Zea mays: one gene and its partners. The protein of the gene in region 3 binds, or shares a complex with, the protein of the main gene of each other region. Links are inferred from orthologs where the notes say so. Each region holds a gene or a part of one and is shown on either strand. Other genes may lie near its edges.

Region 1 (7,567 bases), about 50 Mb from region 3:
CTGCATTCAAGTTGCCCAGTGTCTTACTTGATTTCTGGTGTTTGGTGTTTCTGTGATGCAATCTGTATTCTGTAGGTCGTTTCATGACTAATAGAGTCGACCCCTTCCAATGTCGTCAATGGCAAGAGCTCTTCCAATCAACATGCCTAGCCTAGCGTATTCGTTTTGTAGTGTGCGTACGTGAGTGCTTAGTACAGTACCAAATATAAATACTTCTTTGTGTTTTCTGTATTTTATAGGTAGGTGCCCGTGCGATGCCACGGAACATAAATTGCGAACCTCCAATGGACTTCATTTGAGACAAGTGATGCCCAAGAAAATGGGGGTAAACTGACACAGCTATCACTTGCATTACTTGCCCTATGCGCGGAAGAATCTGACACAGCTATCACCCATGAAGATTTCCGGTTAACTTGTGGAACCGGACTTCATTTGAGACAAGACAACAATACCAGTGTTGAGCTTGCCACTCGGCCATGGCACACATGAGAACACGGGATGATCAAGTAAGAACTGAACAGAATGCACTAATACAAAACGCTGGCTTGCGTTCGCTTCCTTGCTCCATAGGAAGCATAGCTGATATACAAATCGAGAAGTTTTACATATAGACTTCCCAATATGTAAATGGAGAAGTTTTTATACAAATCGAGAAGTTATAAAAATCGAGAAGTTTTACCTAGGAAGCATAGCTCCACAGTAAGAACTGAACAGAATCCAGTTTTACACGAAAACACGAGAGCAGGACCTTTTTTACTCTATATGTAAAACTTCTCGATTTGTATATCAGCTATGCTTCCTGTGGAGCAAGGAAGCGAACGCAAGACAGCCTTTTGTATTAGTGCATTCTGTTCAGTTCTTACTTGATCATCCCGTGTTCTCGCGTGTGCCATGGCCGAGTGGCAAGCTCAACACTGGTATTGTTGTCTTGTCTCAAATGAAGTCCGGTTCCACAAGTTAACCGGAAATCTTCATGGGTGATAGCTGTGTCAGATTCTTCCGCGCATAGGGCAATTAATGCAAGTGATAGCTGTGTCAGTTTACCCCCATTTTCTTGGGCATCACTTGTCTCAAATAAAGTCCATTGGAGGTTTGCAATTTATGTTCCGTGGCATCGCACGGGCACCTACCTAGTTACTAATGATGCATTAATAATGACTTGTTTATTTTATTGTTTTTAAAAATATGTAGGATAGGTAATTACATGTAATATCTAAAAGTTAAAAGCATCATCTATTTAGAAACTAAGGTAGGTAGCAGCAGCCAAAAAAAAAAACTGAGGCGCTGCTGATCTTTCCGCAGTGATCTGCGCGTACCTGGAAGGGGATCTAGCGAGGATCTGGCTGTCGATCCTCGTGTTCGTGGGCAGCCAGCTCGTTCTGCCGCTGGTGTCCTCGCTAGAGAAGAACAGGCTCAGCTACGCTACTACCGGAATCGTGATGGTTGTCCCGACCACGTTCGTCGCAACTACGTCCCGAACTCGTCCTCCATGGCTACTGATGACATCGTGGTAAGTGCACACATTAACACGCGTGGCATGGCTTCCCACTCTTCGTTGACCTGACGCATTACTCAGGTGCCGTTCTCGTGGGCGAAGACCTCCATAAAGACGACGACAGGGTGAAAGAGGACTTGACTAAGCGCATATGGTCTTTGAGCATATAGACTAGTGGAATAGCCAGGAGATAAGTGACACTCCATCCCTGAAGGACTGGAGAATGATAATGATACCCAAATTTCAAGAACTGAGCTTCTAATGTTTCCAAAGTTTCTGTACGCTTACTAACCTGACAGATATACTAACGAGTGACTGTTGGTAAGCGTACAACAACATCGGAATTTGGTTAACCTGCTGACAGCTGTAGCGGGAATACACCAGACGTTCCCATAGAGTTGGAAAATGGCAAGCGCTTACAAAAGCAAACTATGCCATCTGAATGCCAACGCCATCATAAATAGCATGCATTGGATAGCAGCACAGCACAGCAACTGAGTAAACTACAACTTCAGTCACATTACTTTGACAATGTCAAACCGGGTTTCGTGAACTCTTCAAAACATCCCTAGTTGTACAACAGCGTAGAATAATAAAACCTAGAGTCTATGCATTTCCTCTCTCTCTCTCTCTCTACACAAACAAGGATATCTCTGGTGGTTGGACAAAGGAGAAGATGGCTTCCCCGAAGACCTCGTACAGAGACCCCAAGAGATGACCGGTGTCCTGGTCCTCCTTCCAGGCTTGCCTAAGCACTGCAGAAACTCTCTGCGCGAGATCACTGCCCTGATCCCTCCGGACCGCAGCTGATGGGATGCTCTCCACCGTCTGCCCAGAGGACGAGGCCTGCATCATGCCAGGGTTGCCTAACTGGTTGGGAAAGCCATCCATGGCACCTTGCATGTTTCCTCCCATGGAAGCTGAGGCCATGGAGTTGGCTGTTGCGTCCGTTGCCATCTTCTTCAGAGGTGGCTGAGTTGCAGAGAGATCTGTGCTAGATTTTCGCTTATCTGAAATTTGCAGCGCAACATAATCTTTACTTTCAAACTCGACTAATCCAACTGCTGACAGTAAGAACCACTTTGCACTTAATTGCCAGTCAACACGTGTCTAGTGGCATATATTCAACTGATACTGTGCTTATATTCAACACTCACTTGGGTTGTTGGTTAAGACCCTTTTGTTGCTCTGTAAAAGAGGCCGCATCGACGGAGAAAGCAAACCAGGAAATAGTTTCAACCGATCATACAAGCATTTGCCTGCAGCACACTAAAAAAATGCATTCCACTGGTAAGAAACTTGGCCTGGCATTAGTTGGTGAACCAAAATACGATAAATATTATATTGACTGAGAACTCTGAACTGACCAGCAAGGCACCATAAACACGCCAAGCTTCCTTCCTTTTCATCTCGTTTTTCTGCTTCTCAAGCTGCAGTTCCGGCTCCAGAAGTTGCATATATGTCACAAGGTTGGGCAAAAGAAGGAGTCTAATCTGGTAAGCAGAAAAAACAATCAGCCAGTGCATAGGACAGACCCAGTGTTGGCGGCTCCCACATAAGTGGGATCTGAGGAAGGAATAACTAATACAAAAAAAAAAGAGTTTCAAATGGGATCTACCGCGCTGGGCCCCAGTGCAGATATCCCTTGGACAGCACCATAATGTTGTGTCAGTGATTTGGCAGGATCAAGAAATGCATGGATCAATGTTTTAGTTAACCGATTTTGAAGGTTGTGATAGACATGACCAAACCTGAAACCATCATCTTCAGTTGGTCAACAATGTCATGAGAAAATTATTAAGGCAATTAGCCAAATACTACATACAGAAAATATCAATTAGCAAAGAGAGCTAGAGATCATCATTCAGAAAATACACACACTCCATGAGCAGAGCATGCAAAAGGCTATAAATCTATCAATTCCAAAAGAAAATGGATGCATGGAAACACATAAGGCAAGATCAAGTCATGACCCACCCAACAAATGCATGAAGATAGAACTGAAATAAATCTTCTGTCCACACACAGCATAGTGAAAATATCTATTTACCAGTTGGTCTCTAAAAGGAACACTATGTAGTCTACTCAGTAGCAAAGCCATGCAATGGTTTATTGGTATGTTTTCCACTAAGATGTAAGCTTCCATGAAACTTATCATGTCACATATGACATGATCCCGCAAAATAGGTAAAATCTTATATACGGAAGAAAGAGCATGAAATGGTGGTCAAACTATTATTGACTTGACCTTCATCTTAAACCTGTCGAAAAGATACCATATTAGCATAACTAAGATAAAGCACTTTTATGGGCACATAACTGTTCTTTAAGGTCATAATATGAGAATCAAGGAATTGAAATCACAAATGCAATTGAATTAAATTTTGATAATTATACAAAGATTTACTGACACCCTTCACATATCACTCACCTCTGACATACCAAGGCAACCAAATTGGCAGAGAAGTCCCTAAGTTCCCAGTGGTTATCTGAGAGCCTATGCCCTAGCCTTTTCGCAACAATGCAAGTGATCATTGATGGCATCAGCTGGTGCAACTACAGATCAAGACAAATGCTGCTAATTTAGTACTAATACGGCGAAAAGAATATATAAAATGGCAAAAAAATAAGTCGCGCACATGAACTATCAAAACCTTATGGTTTACTACTTACATAAGGTTCAATATGAATATGTGGATTACGGAGAAGACTTTGGACTACTCTCATTAGAGCAAGTAAAACAGGAAGATCACCCAAACTCCGGGTAACCTGAAATTCAAATGGATACACACTAAGTAATGTCATATAAAAAGAAACCCACCAAAAGCAAGAAAGCTACTGTACAACCTCGTCTGCAATGAAGTAGGAAAAGTAAGGAACTAAAGGATGAAGACCAGAATCTTTTGCCAAGCTCACTAAAGCTTCTTTAAAAAGGGACGTATCAGATCTACTCATAGTAAGTTCAGCTATTTTATCAAAGTACATCTGCAAAACCAAACAGTGAATAGACATATAAGTTTCTTGAAAATATATGCGTAATATACAATGCACGGTATCATAATCAAAGTACCTGTAGTTCTCTAGATAATACATGCTTAACAGGAAGCTTGACATCAGCTGGAAGTCCATCATCTTTCCCATGCTCAGACCTTTTATTTTCAGTTGGTGGTACAATTGCTGAAATAAAATGATAATTGGCACAACAAGTATTTTTCTCTCAATATTGGAGAAGAATGTGACTACATCTTGCTAAGGAGAAAAGTAATGACTATAAATCTCTGGACAAAAAGGGCAGACCGTCAATAGCAGGATTCTCCGGTATTGCAGGCTGTACCCCCTCAATCGCTAGCCAATGGGCTACAACTGATGTGTCCAGTGGGGCTTTAGGCAGAGGACAGTCAATAATCTGCATGACACGAACCAGGAAGAAACATTTCAAATGAATGGTTTTGAAATAAGTGGTACGAAAATTTAATAATCATTAATAATGCCACTACCTCTTTGAAGTCTACCTCCCGATCATCAAGATAGAAGAGATCCTTATGTCCAACAGCTCTCTTAAAACGTAATGGATCACCAGAGGCAAATCCATATACGGGCTGATTGAGAACCCATGGACCATGGTAATGAAACAGCAGGGTCAGTTCAAACAAAATAAAGTGTAGCAGAGGAGTTAGACACTTCAATATAAAAGTATGACAAAAATTGCATAAGGAAGGCAGTTTCACAAAAACAGAAGCTAATCAAACAGCTCTACATGCTGAGAAAATTCTAGTAAGAAAACTACATCTATGAACTGAGGAACCAATATTACAACTGTAGTAAAAACAAATATGTACCAGTAAAGCAAAACCATTTTTCCTAAAGATTTCTGAAATGAAATTTCAAGATTACAAATATATGGAAGCATCATTCAAAAACTACTTGTTCGATTGTTTACTGAACCAAATATGCAAGTGGAAGGTGTAAGTTGAATACCATTTACATACCATGAAGACACTTGTCGAAATCTAAAAGTGGATTGTAGTAATGTAGTTACACGCTTTTGAAGTTCTAAACATGATTCGGAAAAACAATACAACGAAAAAAGGATCTTAAATTTATTAGCTAACAATTCACAAGTGCATAGTAGACCTACAAACATATGTTGCAAGTATCCAAAAAAATAGCATAGAAAGGTAATTCACCTCAACATTCCTGAGGCCCAGGGCACTGTCAACATCATCCGCCGTCAGAACAGTCCGCTTTGCATGCCGCATACATTTAATGGATTCCTGAGGCAAAAACACATAAAATGGGATCATCAGAATGGCAATTGAGGTAGTAAAACTGCAAGGTTTCATGAAGACTTGCATGATTATAAGCTTAGCATAAATTAGCGCAAGTGGCAAAAAGGGAACAGACAGTATCCACAAAGAAGTGAATTATGAAAACACTAGATAATGAAATATCAGGCCATAGGACACTCTTCTGTTATCAAACCCCACTAGTACTTCGACAAAATTTTGAGATCCAACTAAGTTCTACATCCCTAAAGGGAAAGAATTGTATAGACTCAACAAATTAAGCAGCATAACTCGAATTACCAGTAGAAAGAAAATAAAAAAATGACTTCACCAGTTGTGCCAGTGGAAAAACAAACAACATCTCACTTGGCAAGTTCATCCCACCATGCAGCCCTCAAAATTCCATTCCACATCATAAACAAGCACACCCTAGAACTAAAGATACTGATTTCATACAGTTGCTCGGGAGACAGTGGCGGAGCTAGGGGCATTTGTTGGTGTCATCTGACACCGATGGATTTTGTAAAACCAATAGAGAAACATTATAATATACTGCTTTATAGTTACATGATCCTATACTCTAATGGCGATGAGACCGGTAACGTTCTTAGCTAGCTTCGCCCTTGTCGGGAGATGAATCCAAACAAATGGCATGTACTTGGTTGGGAAGATGGTGAGAATGCAAGCAATCTCGCTGAGAAGCTACGGAAAACAGGGGGCAATTCCAGCCCAGACTCTTAGTATCCCGGAAAATTAAATAATGCTGATCGCATAGAGTCATTAATTTGGCCGAAGCACACAGCCTGCACTTAGCTCAGATGTACAAAAAAAATTATCGCTTGAGCATCTCCAACAATGCCTCAAACTGGTGCCTCAAATTGAAATATGAGGCTCTACGCAGGAAAAACTACTCCGGCAGTGCCTCATTTTATAAAATTTGGTCAAAAAAATTATAGTGCACCCTCTCGAGTGCCTCAAATATACTACACCGTAGTGGACTGCCCTATAATCTAGATTTGAGGCTTTACTGTTGGAGCGGAATGTTTTGTTGGTACTCTAAATTCTATAAAATATACTTACTTTAAAATTTAGGGTATTTTTATAGGTCACGTTGTTGGAGATGCTCAAAGCATCTCCAACAATGCCTTAAATTGGTGTCTCAAATTGAAATGTGGGGCTCTACACAGGAAAAACTACTCTAACAGTGTCTCATTTTATAAAATTTAGTCAATAAATTATAAGACACCCTCTCAAGTGCCTCGGGTATACTACACCGTAATGAGTTGCCTTGTAATCTAGATTGAAGGTTTTACTATTGGAACAGAAAGTTTTATTGAAGCCCTAAATTCTATAAAATATACTCAATTTTAAATTAATTGACATTTTTATAGGTCGCTGGAGATGCTTAGCCAACCAAATTCACCGCCACTGCTACAATTCCAAGGACAACCCTAGGGCGACGGCACGGAAATCAACCCTCCCAATTCATGAAAAATAGCGCCGGAATCAAAAAGTAACCTAGGCAAGGGGGGCGAGGCCTGACCTGCATGATCTCGCGGAGGCGGTATTCGACGTCAGGGGCGAGCGCGACGGCGACATCGGCACCGAGGCTGGGGATGCCGACGCTCTGAGCGATGACCTCGATCGTCTCCTTGGGCACGATGCTCATTGCGCTCCTCTCGGCCCCTAATTCCCTTAACCCTAGTTTAGCTATCTCCCTCTCGATTCTTCTCCCCAAACAAAGGGTATGTTTGGGACTTCTCTAAACCACCACTTGGAATCTATG
Region 2 (6,996 bases), on a different chromosome or scaffold from region 3:
CAAATTGCTTGATTTCTTGCACACATAATCTGAATTCGTGTTTTACAGAACGAGACTGGTTGCTGTAGCCACCCAGAAGTTCCTATCAGACATTGCTAGCGATTCTCTTCAGTGAGTAAATTCATAGTCTCGTTATTGCAAAGTAAAGGATTCTCTTCTTAATTTCAATGATGATAGCATATTCATGAATGAAACAGTATCATTCTTTTATTCCATGGGAATGCAAATCTTCTGTGCAATACTGCAATTCCATGTTTTTGTCTGGTTGAACAAGTTTGTTAGGCTTCAATCAAAATCCCTCCCTAATTGCATGTACTTGTGAAATTATTCATCGAGACATGGTTATGTTTATTAGGCTTCAATCAAAATCCCTCCCCAATGAAATTATTCATTGAGACATGGTTTTTAAGGTGCCGCTTACGTGATATGGCTCGCTGGAAATCTAGGCATCCCTATCGCCATGATCAAATATAAATATAGAGACAGAGGGGGGGGAGGGCATCTAGGTCAAGAACCCGAGCTGCTGCCATCCCTGCTGGATCCAACACCAGTGGCTGGCACAGAACTTGCTCCGGTCAGCTGTGACACAGTCAATCTGGAAGGTGACGGCAGTGGTGGTCAATTTGAGAGCACAGATAAGTGAGGAAAGCGGAAAAAGTGGGAGGAAGGAGAAGTTTCAGGCAGTGGTAGGCGCATCTGGATAGAAAGGGAGAGGAGGGAGTATGCTGGATATGTGGGGGTGACCATGTATATGCGCACTGGAGCCATTGATACAGGAAGGGAAGGAGAGGCTAAAGAAAGGAAGAGCATGAAGAGAACCAGGCAAGGCTGCACCTGCACCTGCACCTGCCCTCGCCCATCTCTGTTGGCTCCGGCGCCTGTGGTCTTGCAGATCTTCACTGGTCAACTGTATAGCTCGATCTGAAGGGGGCAGCACCAGTGCACAATCTGCATGAGTAGAGCTCTATTTCAAAAGGGGTGGCGTTGGCCCTCAATCTGGGAGGTGTGCTCTTGGGGCAGCCAGGCTTGTCGTTGCTCAAAGACGGCATTGGAAAGGACTGATGTAAACAGGCAAACAGCATCAAGTGAGGAATTGGTGGATTAGGGATTGAGGGGAGAGTGTAGGGTGTTGCTTTATGGGCTGTTGGGTTAATTGGGTTCTAATGAGTTAGTGGGGTGGCTGCTAATAGTTAATGTGGCCCATCGATGCTTGTATTTACCTCTTATTCTACATTATATATCTTACTACATATTTTATGTTCCATATCATTTACTTTTTCAAAAAATGAAACATATCCCTATATTGAGTAACTGTGTAACATGCAATTATCTTCAAAGTTTTTTAAAAAACATACAAGATACACTTACAAAGTGTATGCCTGATTTTGCGGAGATTCTGTAATTATATTACTTGTATAGGAGTGTATGAAAAACAGCTATCCATGTGCCTAAACCTGTATGGTTTCAACTCTAGCCTATCCCAACTTACTTGAGACTAAAAGGCTTTGTTGTTGTTATTTGTAATTATATTACCAATGGCTCATTCTTTATGTGGTCTGACTAATCAAGTGATGAATAACTAAAGCATACTAAAATTAGGAAACAGGTCAATTAGGGTTTTTTTGGTATCATCATCATCATGAGTTACGAATTAAAAGCATACCTAATTAACTGAAGGATACCTAATCAATCATCATGATAGGCTCATGTATCACATCATGTGCCTTAGCAAGGTGCGATTTGAGGTTGTAGTGGCAGCAGGCTAGCGCCTGCTGGAGAGGCTCCTAGTTTGACACGACCTGAAATGCACATTCTGCAGTCAGCAATCTGGCAATCACATTTAGCCTAGACAGCTATGGCAACTGAGCTGCAGGAATTGCTAAATGACTAGAACAGGTGCCAAGCTGATTATTTACCAGGGTCCAGGGGAGGGGGTCTTAATAACCCTGAAAGGCATTGTGATTTACAAAGCCCGTGGAAAAACAGATCCATTGTGCGGGGAGGATGGGATCTTTCGGATTATATTGCGTAAGTTTGCCAGGGTCTTATTTTGTTGGTTTTTTTTGTCAGTGTATGATGTGCTCTACTGTTCACTATATAACAAACTATTTTAACATTTTCTTAGCGATATGTATTATACACACTGTATTTGTGTGTACTAACTTTGCTGTTACATTATTCTTTCCCTTGAACTAGGCACTGCAAGGCCAGGGTAGCAGCACCTATCAAAGACAATAAGAGCAAACAGCCGAAGGTGTATTTACTCACTAGTTGAACTTTTCGTGTTCCTAGCGTTAAATCTTGTTTAGTATCCTTACTGATTACTTATCACATTTTTCCTAAAAAATGTTACTTTCAGGATAGACGTCTTGTATTAACCATGGATGATCTTTCTAAAGCTTTGCGCGAGGTAACTACGTTTCCATTTAGTTCTGCAGTTTGCAAATTTTTATTTTTGTTGGCAGCAGCTTACCATTTACTATCTTCTGTATTCCAACCAGTTGGGTAGATCTGTTTTCTTAAAATCAGTCAGGAGCACATTGTTTGGTTTAGACACTGTTTTTTCAGGACTTGAAATTGAATCTCCCCACTGTTTTCTTAAACTTACACAGTTATGTAGATCCAGTTTGATATGCTCTTGCTCCTCACAAATTTCCAAAAATTCATAAGGAAAACCACCTGTTAGCGGCAGTTAAGAACAGAGCACACGAATAAAAACTTGACAATGGAGGATAGATATTTAAGCAAATAGCATGTGCTGCACAGTAGATTTTAAGGCGATGACTAATATGCAATCAGTCATTATATGCAAGCGAGCTTTCTGGCCCGTTAGGTCATGATCCAACCGTATATATAACTGTGGTTTGTTTTACACACACACGAGCTGGTCTTGGAAGGATTTAAGTGTTAAATGTGACATACGGTTGAATCATGATCTAACAGACCAAGATGCTTACTTGCACATTAGGTCTGATTGCATATTAGTGATCGCCAGATCATAATGATGATTGAGTTCCTTTAGACTAGATATATGATCCATTCCAGCAACCCAATGGCAGTGCGCCAGTGCCCATATGACCTGTATCTTTTTGCAAGAGTGAGGCACACACCATCCGATATTGTGCATGGACCTAAATATACAAGGTCATATGGAGATCAGACTAGTGTGGTTTTCTTTGCCTGTACTGGTTAAACCTTATAACTGTCAACCTTACTGTCGTTGTAGTAAGAAAGAAAAGTGGGATCTGGATGTTGCTAAAATCTGAAGGCACAATTCATCTCCCATTTAAATCGAATGTGTAATAGTGGATATCACAGTCATTAAATGAATTTGAGCAGCTAATCAGATTTCAGATTGTCAATCGAACATTGCATATTCTGAGCTTCCTCCTTTATAGGTTTAATGGTTTACCCATCGACAAGAAGACCATTATATGCATGGAAATAAGCACTTCCGGAATCTACAACCTAGGAATTTCACTGAAAACAGTACAATCCCTGCAGAATTCAGTACCATGCCAGTGCTATTAAGCATGGCGGTGGTGGTGGTGGTTGGGGGGGGGGTGTTATTCTTTCTTACATTCCAAAATAAGTCTGTTATACCCAAACCTTGCACAAAGGCATTGTCCTGTACTTTATATCAAATACAAAGTTTATAATGTTGATAGAATCTTCAGCGTCCAACATCCAGGCACCCTTCTCGAAATTATATTTGGTAAAAACCCTGTTTTTGTTTAGTTTTGAAGGTGACTTGTGTAGTACCTCCAATACCTAACATCATCTCATGGCATCATTGTTGGGAGAATGGAGTAGTAACTGATAAATAGAATCCTAACTCAAAAAATCTTCATTCATTGGTTTCGCATGGTCACCGTATTACTTTCCAGCACATCAGCTTTTGCTCCATGTGTGATCCTTATATACCCTGATACTCACATGAGCCATCTCTCTGCAGCACGGCGTGAACTTGAAACACGCGGAGTACTTCGCAGACAGCCCTTCAGCTGGAATGGCTCCTTCGACCAGAGAGGAGTAGACTGGATTAGGCCAACTTGTACGGAACTAGGGAGGGATCGCGTGGAATGGATGGGCATGTTGGCATTCTTGCCCGATCAGATCGATGGGATGTATTACTATTAAGTACTGCTACTATGACTAGTATATTTCTCAATTACCATTGTCACTGAGAGAATCCAGACACAAGTCGTTTTGCCCATGCGCTTTTATTTGTACAAACTGTCAATCATCTGTAACCCTATGGGGCCCAAGGATGATTGGGCAAACATCATGAGTTTTTTGTTTTCTACATACCATTCTAAAGGAGGCAGCTCACCTTCCCTGGGTGGCGAATTGTCAAATCACCCCCTGGCCCTAGGAGAACATCTCTATGGACACTTCTCTAGGTCCCTTGTTTCCTCCATGTTGACAAAGTGATCAGTATGTACTTACCACATGACCACACTGATTAATTGTGTCCTTGCTTTCGTCTATGGCACACCACCAGAAATCTGTGTTTATATGTCATCAGCCGTACCGATGTACCATGGTCCACGATTGACTTGGATTTGTTAATCGCTCAGCGTGAACCAAATTCGTCCCCACATCTTTTTTTGAAAAAAAATTCATAAAAACTTACGGCACTCCATCTTTTTTTTCTTCAACGCAGCTTGGATTTCTGAAAGGGACTAGCCCCAGTATCATATTTAGGCCACCAACCCACCATCAGGCATCAGGGATTTAATTTTTTTTTTTAAAAAAATCTTGCACAGTCTGGTCACTCTCCAATTCCTGTTTGCATTGCATGGTCATCGACACAGACATTTACAATCGCAAAGTCCCTAAGCCAAGGTCCATCTCAGCGTTTTCATTTGCAGGAAGGGAAGCGCTGACTTCATCCCGAGTTCAGTTCACAACCATTTTTTCTGCTGACGAAGGTTTCACAAGGATTAACAAAGCCATGGCCGGCGCAACGATATGGTTTAACAATCCGGACGGTAACTGGTAAGTTTACCCGTACGTATCATTGGCTAGCCGTTGCCGTACCACGTAGGTCAAGTTGATTTCGCGAAACAGGACAGATAAAATGAACCTCGTCTGTCACGTCCGAGTGAGTGGATTATCATCCCAAGCGATTTTCATGATGAGATTTGTGAGATAAAAAAATACTGTAGAAATAAACAAACAAGCCAGGGCAATGTTCCAGACCTCTAAAACCAATAGTTAGCGACTAAAATTGGCTGAGAGGTTTAGAGCGTGTCATCTAATACAGGGGCGGGCCGACAAATTTAAAGGCCCTGTACTAAACTTCAAAAGATGTCATATTTTATAGAAAAAATATAATTGAAATTACATTGTAATAGAATTTATGTATTCTAAATTGTAAAAGATTTACTAGATAACTCTTTTAAATCTATCTATTTTTTACGAAATTATATTGTAATAGAGTATATAAATAAACATACGTATTAATAGATGTGTTTGAAGAGCAATAGGCTAGCTGCTAACTGAGTTCAGCTTAGATGATATAATGTTAGTCTGCTTATTGATGCATATTATTTAGGTTTACTACTGAGCTAAGAAATTTTTTAGACCCCTCAGAATTTTAGGCTCTGTGAGGTCGCACTTGTGGCACATGCATCTGGCCCGGCCCTGATCTAATAGACCAACTAATTATTAGTTATATCTCTATGGGGTTACTGATAATTAGCTCGACCGAATAGGATTATCGTAGGTCAAGTGGGTAACTCGAAGTCCAGAAAGAAATACTACCATGTTGATGAATTATTGCCCTGTAATTAAAAGAAGTCTCAAGTTGTTCACTTGGTCGCTTTCGTTTCTTCTACCATATTCTGCATTTTTTAATTAATGAGATGGAAAGTGTACCAAACGGGCTGCTGCTACAGATCGCGTTGGACCGGTAAAATTAAGGTCTCGTTTAGTGACAAAGGAATTGGGAAAAAAATCATAGAGGAGGACATATATTGCTAAACCAAACCTATAATTGATTACAGGCAGGGGGCTTCTGACTTTGGTATGGATCTTCGCTAATCTTTTGACTTGCTACGGAACTTCGCTAACCTTTAAAATTCCCACCCGTCATCTTCTACTCGGGCCAGTAAGAGTCCAGCTAAAGTCTTGTCTGGTTAATCCTATGCATTGGCGGAGCTAGGGTCTCTCTAAATATAGGATTAGATATAACACTAAAAACGATGTATGGACCTTTAAACATCAAAAGCTAGCTCTCTTGACAGCAGTCACAGCTAATCATACTGGTTGGTATATGGACCTTTAGAGACTATTTGGTCCAAAAGTAGGGCCTAGGCTCTCCTGCACATAGGCCTGTCTCCGCCACTGATCCTATGCCCCATAGATTGAAAGATATTGGAAAAAAAATTTATGAAGAACTTTGACTTGCTATGGATTGAAATTCATCTAATTTCCTCAAATCTATATGGATTTTGATGAAACCGAGTAGACCCTAGGAGCTATATGGCATGACAAAATCCACGAGGCAAGGCAAAAGGTGAGCACTCTACATGGTTCTGGTTATACTTATACCTTCGGTTTCAAGAGTTCACAGGGACCAGAGTTCATTAATGGTTCGAGCCTATCCTCGCAAGGACAGTACTTTATGCAGCCATTATTGACAGGATTACGCATGACACCAACGCTGACGGCCAATCACAGCTTCGAAGCGCCACGGAATTCCTGAATCCAAACGCTAGCTAGGGCAGGCTAGGACAAGGGGAAAAGGCTACTGACCACCATCCCCGGCGGCATCCCTTTAACTCCAGTGAACGTTTAAAGGCGACGGATCATTCCGGTGTCACGTTCTTTCTGGAAGAAAAAAAAAAAGGCGTGGCAATGCAACGATCCTGCCTTTCCTGTGTTGCCTGCCCTGTTCCTCTCTCGTTTCCAGGGTCAATGTGCATGAGCCTCTTTTCTGCCGGCTGGATGGTAATGTGGTGGTGTGGGTATCCAGGAAAGTGCCCGGAG
Region 3 (7,883 bases):
GCTTAATTTATAATTCTTGTAACGCTAGATCTCTATTACTTCTCCAGTAGCTCAGCCCAAATGGAATAAAAAATACCCATCTCATATAGACTAAGTTACCCAGTGGGCAAGGGGAATCGCCATGGAGTCGGCTGACTTTTCTGGACCATGTCACATCCAAGGATCAACAGGCCGAGGGGGGTATTCAATATAAATCAACTGACATAGGAAATGCGTATCATTTCATTAATAGGAGAAAAAAGGAATACAAAAAAACTCATACACACACACAACCCGAGACCCACACACACCCTCACACAAGGACTAAAAACATCCGCGCCTGTTACAAGGGAAACACGACCAGGGCATGGCAGCTACTAATTACCTCGGACGCGCAGGAGAGCTGTGTATCATTTCATTAATAGGAGAAAAAAGGAATACAAAAAACTCATACACACACACAACCCGAGACCCCACACACCCTCACACAAGGACTAAAAACATCCGCGCCTGTTACAAGGGAAACACGAGCAGGGCATGGCAGCTACTAATTACCCTGTACAAGTTTTCTTTCTGTTGATACCAAATAGTGATCCTTATCTCCCGATATTAATCGGGAATGAATACATATGAAGGTTATCTGTAGTCTCTCTAAAGCATAGAGTGCATCAATGAACTGATACTGAATAAAACTAGTGATGTTCCGGATTACTGAATACTTGAGTAAAACACCATATGAGACAAAAAGTAAGGTACCTGATTAGTACAAGCGACGAAATTACTTGTAAGATTCCAGCTAGTGATTTGCAGTTCCCTCTCGATATGTGATGCAGCAGCAAGCTCAATAGCCTCATCAGGAAGCTGATTCATGGCAGAAGCCAATCCAACAGGCTGAGTAAGCTTCAGAATTCCTAAGCGCTTGAGACGATACAAACCAGCTTGCATACTTTCATAACAGCAAACCTGGATAATGATATTTTAGTTGAGTCGTCGTCATATTTTCGGATTGAAAAGAGAACTGTTATTAAACACCAAGTCAAGAAGGTAAGGCAACCTTCAAAGAATAAACCTCATTATTTAGGTATTGGTGCTTTCAATAGAACTTTCTATAAGAAAAATATATTCTCAGTCAACTTACTCTGATGACCCAATTTTTAAAGACATTTCATCCTATAGATTTGGAAATGTGGGTATGGCATAATAACCAGCGCTTGTGGTCCATATATAAGCCAGCACAGCGTAATAAGCACTCGCATTTCCACGACGTGCAAAATAAAGCATTTCTTCAAAAGATAAAGCTTGTCATCCAGTTCTGTTGTTGTATTGGCGATTGACAAAAGACTTGACAGGTTTTTAGTGAAAGGAGCGTTGAAAAGGTTTGGAGCGACAGCATGCAAGACCTTTGAAGCATGATAGTTGTTGTCAAAGTTGGTGCCATTTAGTCTTGGTAGATGTTTGGTTCTTAGTTGTGATAGTTGCTTAGTTGGTTAGCAGGAGTATGAGTTGTTTAGTGGTTTGGCCATTTCATTTTAGTTGGCTCATTGTTTGTTTTTCTGAGCGGCTAGTGGTGTTGAGTTTGTCCTTGGAGAACTTCTGTTGTTTTAGTAGTTGTGTTTGGGGGAGATGTTGTTGGGTTTTTGGGCCTGGTTTCCCTAAAAGAACTGGACCAATACTTCTTTCTGTTTCTTCTTCTGATAAAACTTGTAGCAACGCTTTTGCCATCCTTTCGTGGAAAAAACATGTCAACAAGAAACAATTGATTGAGATTAACATGAGGGCAATAATAATTTGCAGAAACTCACACTTTCTGGCGTCAATAATCTCCTCAGTTCTTCTTCTGATGGAACCCGGAAATCAGGTCTCTGTGTCCAGAAAAAATGCCCCTTTGGTCCTTTCTGTAAGGAAGTGCAGGAGATCATTAAATATGGTTGAATAAGAGTCCAGAATAAAAATATACAGATAAAGAAACTATGAATAAAATGTGTGATAGACAGATACCTTCAAATCTGCACAATGCTTCAATCGTTTTTTCACTATGGCTTCTGTCAGAGGACTTTGTATGGGTAACTCGTCAGCTCGAATCTGAGGAATAGCATCAGGCCTCTCTCTAGCACGAAACTCACGATAAACATATGCAAGAACTCGGTTCAGAAGATAATTTTGCATGTTCTTAGTCCCTGGTGAAAAGACTTCCATATGAGGTTCCTGCAAGAAACCATGACTATTATCCTAGGGATGAAATCGTTAAAGCTCCAATACAGAACAGCTCCTAAACACTGATGATTTATTTCCAATGTATTGTTCTAACAACAGCAGAAAATGGCAAGAACTCGAGGAGTATTCTTGACACAAAAAAACAAAAAACTCAAGGAGTATTATATTTGTTTGAAAAAAAAGTGGATACAGAACATAGTTTCTTCAAATTTTACGCAGAAATCAATAACCATATACCAGTCATATTTGTAATGCTCACGTTCAGATATTCTCATGTACTTCTGTTCTCACATGCTGACAACAAACTGCCAACGTGTAGGATCATTCAACAAATGCATGACATGCTAAAACTGCGCCAAAGAAGCTTCTAAACATGCAACACACTACAATACTACATTACTGAACTTCATAGCAGATTTTATCAATAAAAGAAATTGAATTTCCCTGCCAAGCATAAATGCAAAACATGATGGACGAGAGCTATCTCTACCACTGTAACAAAGGAATATCCAATGTTTCAGCTATGTTCACTAAAGCTGTAAAGCCTAAAGGTCCCACACAGAAACAATCACAAGCTAAACCTAAGCAATGAATATTTCAGAACATGGTCTGCAGTGCAAAGCTTGGGAATGCACCACAGCGGAGAATTCAGTGAGGGGATCATATCCTTGACAATATGAAAAACTTCAGATAGGGAAGGGTTGGAAACATTGCACATCCTGCTTATACAGAACATAGTATTTCAGGCACCAGAGCTTACTTGTTGGCCAACAACATATAGCTTGTCAATGCGACGGAGGGAAAGAGCCCCTTTGGCTGAACGAACTAATAAGTAATCAGTTGGTGCAACCTTATGGGGAAATACAGGTGATCTATACATGTTTGTTTCAAGACAAGATTGGTGGGACCCAGAATGTATCTCTCCTAGAAAAGGGGATTTATCAGCAGGATCAATTGCAAGCACTGTGCCCAGTCCATCACTGTTGTTTCGCAGTGATGCAGCTGTCTGATCAGTAGGGGTAGTTTTCTGGTAATATGTACAGAGACGGGCTCCCATTCCTGCATTCGAGAGAAGCAAAGGTCTCTCTTCACAATATCTGCACTCAGGGCAATAAACAACAGATGAATTACTACAGTGGCGAAAAAACATAATCAAAATTTGACAATGTGCATAACCAACATAGCCTTGCACATATAAACATAATGATAAGCACTTGGCCAAAATAGAAGTAAAAAGAATAAAAAAATCACTGTAAAGTATCAGAGCTCTTAGCCTACCCCAACTTGCTTGGGACTAAAAGGCTTTGTAGTAGTTGTTGATGTTGTAAAGTATCAGAGCTCTCTATTCACAGTATCTACAGTCATGTGTTAATAACACATGTGCTACCATGATAGAAAGTCCCAATACCAACAAGCAAATCACAATTCACAAGCAGAAATACCTACCCAAGAAGCTACCTCCCATATACTCCCTCCATTACTGTAAGGTGCATCATCTAAAAGTTCAAACATTGTAATTCCTCCACCCAAAAATATAAGCCATCATTTGACTGTCTAAGTTCAAGTTTAGTCTATAAATTAATATAAGGATCTATGATGTATGTGATCAAATCATAGAAAATCCGTTGGAGTAGTATTCAAAGGTACATAGAATTGTGACTTAGTAACTATTAATAAAATATTATAAATCTCAACCAAAGTTTGCAACACTATCAGTACAGCTATGTGATGAAGTAACTTCTAGCTAATAAGTCGGTTGACTATATATGAGTTCAATGAGATACAAAACTGGTAGAAAAAATCCATATTTCAATGTGAATTCTTATAGTTACAATTTTGTAGGTCATAAATAATTCAAGAGATATCTATGACCAAATTTCAACTAACAGACCATGGCACATCAAAAGTTGTGTAATACCACTTCGTTGAACTAGCAACTAACATTCAAAAAATCAGCGCCTATATAAAGTCATATGCATTAAAGTTCATTGAAATTATAACTTCAATATACAATAAGGGGGAATAAATTGGACTTACTCCATTAAAAAAACATGTCCATCCTTGATAGACAAGTCAGTTTTTTTCCTGAAAGCCCCAGGAGGGCGTAGAGGCTTGTCCTCACCAGGTAATTTCTGTGCTTTTGGCCATAGGTACACTTCAGTGCGAACAGCATGCACAATGGAGTTTGGTCGCACATTTTGCATTGCTAACGAGATGTCATCCTGAAGCTCTTTCCCAGAACAGAACAATTTGATCTTCTCAGAAGGCTTCAATTCTGCAAAAAGCTAAGGTGGTGAGTGTTAGAATATGCTATACATAGGCTACAAACTTAGTTGTCCAAGATCCTCTTGGGCTAGAATAGAAACCGACTCGGATTAGAGGTTAGAGATAAAACAGAACAGGACTGCATGCATCCAGTTCATTTAGAGTTAGAGTCGGTTAGGATGCTGTTAGCAATAGAGATAGCGCAAAATAATAGATTGATTAATTGGAGAGACCTATATAGATAGATAAATAGGTAAGGGAAATGAGATCTCGTTTGTGCTTCTGGAAATTACTCAGCTAGCTCCGCGTACAGGGCTTTTTTTCAGGGGTCATTGGCCCTGTTTCACTGTTTGTTTCAGCTTTTTTCAACTTTTGGCCACCAGAAGCTGCTGCAAACTGTCAAATGCCCAGCTTTTCAGCCCGCTTCTATGAAAATCACTTTAGTCAAAATTGTTAAAATAAACGTGAACACAGAATCGGTCGAGTCGTTGTGATAGTAGGAAACCGTCACTTTCTACATCCTAAATTCTATGGACTCTTTTATCTTCCTCCGCATGTAATCTCCACAATACTCAGATTCTCTCCACAGCCAGATTCTCAGAAAAGCCCCTCAGAAATAAGCTGAGCCAAACAGGCCCCTAAAACCCTAAACGTAATGGGTAACCGACAGCCAGATTCTCAGAAAAGCCCCTCAGAAATTAGGTGTCGTTTGGTTCACATATTGGTAACGTAATGGGTAACCGACAACGTTAAATCATGTTTGTTTAAGTCTAACGGTAATCGAATATCACACTAAAAATGGATACCGGCCTATTCATATTTGTTACCGCAGGTATTCAAGTGTGAATAATTATCATTACCATTTACGTTACATTTCGCGAACCAAACTGCACCTTAGTTGCTGCTCTTCGGGTGGCTAGAGACAAGGCTTTGTGTTTGTCTTTGGCTGGTGATAAAGCTCTGTCTGGTTTCTTCCATATAGACGAGCTGCTGACCTAGTGGTAGGTGGTGTGGCAGGAGTCTGCTCTCCCTTGTGTGGTCGGAGTCTGCTCTCCCTAGTTCCCGGTGTGTCTCGGGAATTGTTTGTATTTTGGGGATCTTCCCCCTTCTCTCTTTCTTCTTAATACAAAAATGTGCAGTTCTCCTGCGTATTCCAGAGAAAAAAATGATATCTCGTGGCTTATAGAAACAGAACCAAACAAGATCTCCCTGTATCTCTAACCATATACACACACACCATATATGACTCTAACATATACAGGGGCCGACCTGCTATACCTAGCAGGTATCCATACCACATATACACACAGACACACCATATATGGTAATCTAACACCCTTGTAGTCATAGCATTGATGAGGCAAACGTTGAGACTGGACCGAAATTCCATGAAGACATAAGCTAGCAGCTCTTTGGTCCCTCAAACATCACAGACAGCAATGCAGCAAAACCTTCAGATGATTCAGTATCATCAGAGTGCTCGGTTTCATCAGGACCAACAGCTCCAGCTAAACGACCTCCCATTCCCGTTGTTTACACAAATCAGCATCATCGAGCAAGATTACAAGATAGAAAAACTATTGTGTTTTACCACCATTGGTGAACCTCAAGACCTGTCTGAAGCTCTAGGTGATGATAATTGAAAGAATGCTGAATTTGACGCGCTGATGAAAAATAACACTTGACATCTAGTTCCTGCTGATGTGGCCAAGAATGCTATTGATTGCAAGTGAGTATATAGAATCAAACAGAAGGCAGCCAAAATGTTGGATAGATATAAAGCCAGGCTGGTGGCAAAGGGTTTTAAACAGCGATATGGCATAAATTATGAGACATTCAATCTTGTGGTCAAAGCGACTACTATCAGGATAGTTCTACCCTTAGAGGATGGATATTGAGGCAACTTGATGTTCAAAATACGCTTTTTCATGACATTCTGAAGGAGGAAGTCTACATGAAGCAACCACCCCACCAGGATATGAGAGCACATCACAGCCTAATCATGTGTAAGCTAGCGAAAGCTATTTATGGTCTGACGCAAACTCCAAGGGCCTATTATTCTCGACTTGGTGATAAATTATAGCATCTAGATTTTCAGGCTTCAAAGGTGGATACTTCTTTGTTCTTTTATACCAAGGGAAGTGTCTCAATATTTCTCTTGGTCTATGTCGATGAAATTGTAGTTGCTAGCTCTTCACAGGATGGTATTGTTGCTATGCTTCGAGATTTGAGTTTAGAGTTTGCATTGAAGGACCTAGGGCAGCTCCACTACTTCCTTAGAATTGATGTACAAAAAACTGGTGATGGTATTCACTTGTCTCAGACTAAGTATGCTTCAGATTTGCTTGGTAGAGTTAGAATGATGAATTGCAAGCCTATTGCGACTCCGCTCCATGCTTGAGAAAAGTTAAGAATTGGTGAAGGTAAACTACTAGAGTCAGAGGATGCAACAAGGTACAGAAGCATTGATGGTGCCTTACAGTATTTGTATTAGACACGACCTAACTTGAGTTGAGTTGACGTGGGTCCAATCACTTTGGTTCATGGCCGTATGAAACATGTTGAGATTGATTTTTATTTTTTGAGAGAAAGAATAGTTAAAGGACTTTTGGAGGTCCAAATTACGGGCATGTTTGGTTCGCTGCCTAACTTGCCACACTTTGCCTAACTTTTTTGCCTAAGGTTACGGTCTGTTTGGTTTCCTACCTAAGGCGCCACAATCTGCCTAAGCTTAGGCGCTCGAATTGAAGAACTAAGCTTAGGCAGGAAAGTTAGGCACATTGTGACGCTTTAGGCCGCAAACCAAACAGCCCCTTAGTTCTTCAATTCGGACGACTAACCTTAGGCAAAGTGTGGCACAGTTAGCCACAAACCAAACAGGCCCTACATCTACAAAGGACCAAGTTGCAGGCAGCAGATGGCTTTACTAAGCCACTAACTATGCAAAAACTAGTTTCATTCAGAGACAATCTTAACTGGTGCAAGTTATGGTCGAGGAGAGTGTTAGAATATGCTATACATAGGCTACGACCTTAGCTGTCCAAGATCCTCTTGGGCTAGATTAGAAATCGACTCCCATTAGAGATTAGAGATAAAACAGAACAAGATGTATGTCTAGTTCATTTAGAGTCAGAGTCGGTTGAGATGTTGTAACCGAGTAGGATTCCTTTTATAATAGTCAATTATGTTGCCTGTATAAATATATAACATCATCGACCCTAGAGGTCAAGGCAAGCAATTTAATATCCTGGTGTCGTGTTTCTTTCAGTAAGAAAACTAATTAAACTGGAGGAAATGACCATTTGTGTTTCCTTTGGGGGGGGGGGGGGGGGGGGGGGGGGCTTAAATTACATAGTATATGTATTAGCTAGCAAACAACTGGTCGATAAAAAGAAGATAGCTTAACAAAAAGTTCCAAATAAAGA

What was found.
Region 1: transcription initiation factor TFIID subunit 1 (region 3) and Transcription initiation factor TFIID subunit 6 share a complex: the UniProt entries of both Arabidopsis thaliana proteins name them as parts of the TFIID complex. The link is inferred for Zea mays from reciprocal best matches to the Arabidopsis thaliana genes HAF01 and TAFII59.
Region 2: transcription initiation factor TFIID subunit 1 (region 3) and transcription initiation factor TFIID subunit 10 share a complex: the UniProt entries of both Arabidopsis thaliana proteins name them as parts of the TFIID complex. The link is inferred for Zea mays from reciprocal best matches to the Arabidopsis thaliana genes HAF01 and TAFII15.

What each region holds. Positions count from the first base shown.
Region 1 is NC_050104.1:148,197,118-148,204,684, reverse strand, and holds the end of Transcription initiation factor TFIID subunit 6, read right to left. Parts: 5' UTR 7,451-7,567; coding exon 7,325-7,450; intron 5,770-7,324; coding exon 5,683-5,769; intron 5,095-5,682; coding exon 4,993-5,094; intron 4,902-4,992; coding exon 4,793-4,901; intron 4,673-4,792; coding exon 4,566-4,672; intron 4,481-4,565; coding exon 4,343-4,480; intron 4,265-4,342; coding exon 4,169-4,264; intron 4,052-4,168; coding exon 3,927-4,051; intron 3,247-3,926; coding exon 3,114-3,246; intron 2,989-3,113; coding exon 2,863-2,988; intron 2,765-2,862; coding exon 2,653-2,764; intron 2,506-2,652; coding exon 2,129-2,505; 3' UTR 1,992-2,128; downstream 1-1,991. UniProt on the Arabidopsis thaliana protein: TAFs are components of the transcription factor IID (TFIID) complex that is essential for mediating regulation of RNA polymerase transcription. Required for proper pollen function. May stabilize the interaction of TFIID with selected promoters.
Region 2 is NC_050102.1:124,189,089-124,196,084, reverse strand, and holds the end of transcription initiation factor TFIID subunit 10, read left to right. Parts: intron 1-48; coding exon 49-111; exon of another isoform or gene 112-2,028; intron 2,029-2,196; coding exon 2,197-2,254; intron 2,255-2,359; coding exon 2,360-2,410; intron 2,411-3,398; coding exon of another isoform or gene 3,399-3,404; exon of another isoform or gene 3,405-3,955; coding exon 3,956-4,036; 3' UTR 4,037-4,490; downstream 4,491-6,996. UniProt on the Arabidopsis thaliana protein: TAFs are components of the transcription factor IID (TFIID) complex that is essential for mediating regulation of RNA polymerase transcription.
Region 3 is NC_050104.1:98,696,306-98,704,188, reverse strand, and holds part of transcription initiation factor TFIID subunit 1, read right to left. Parts: intron 4,469-7,883; coding exon 4,231-4,468; intron 3,291-4,230; coding exon 2,954-3,290; intron 2,185-2,953; coding exon 1,978-2,184; intron 1,875-1,977; coding exon 1,782-1,874; intron 943-1,781; coding exon 736-942; intron 1-735. UniProt on the Arabidopsis thaliana protein: TAFs are components of the transcription factor IID (TFIID) complex that is essential for mediating regulation of RNA polymerase transcription. Core scaffold of the TFIID complex.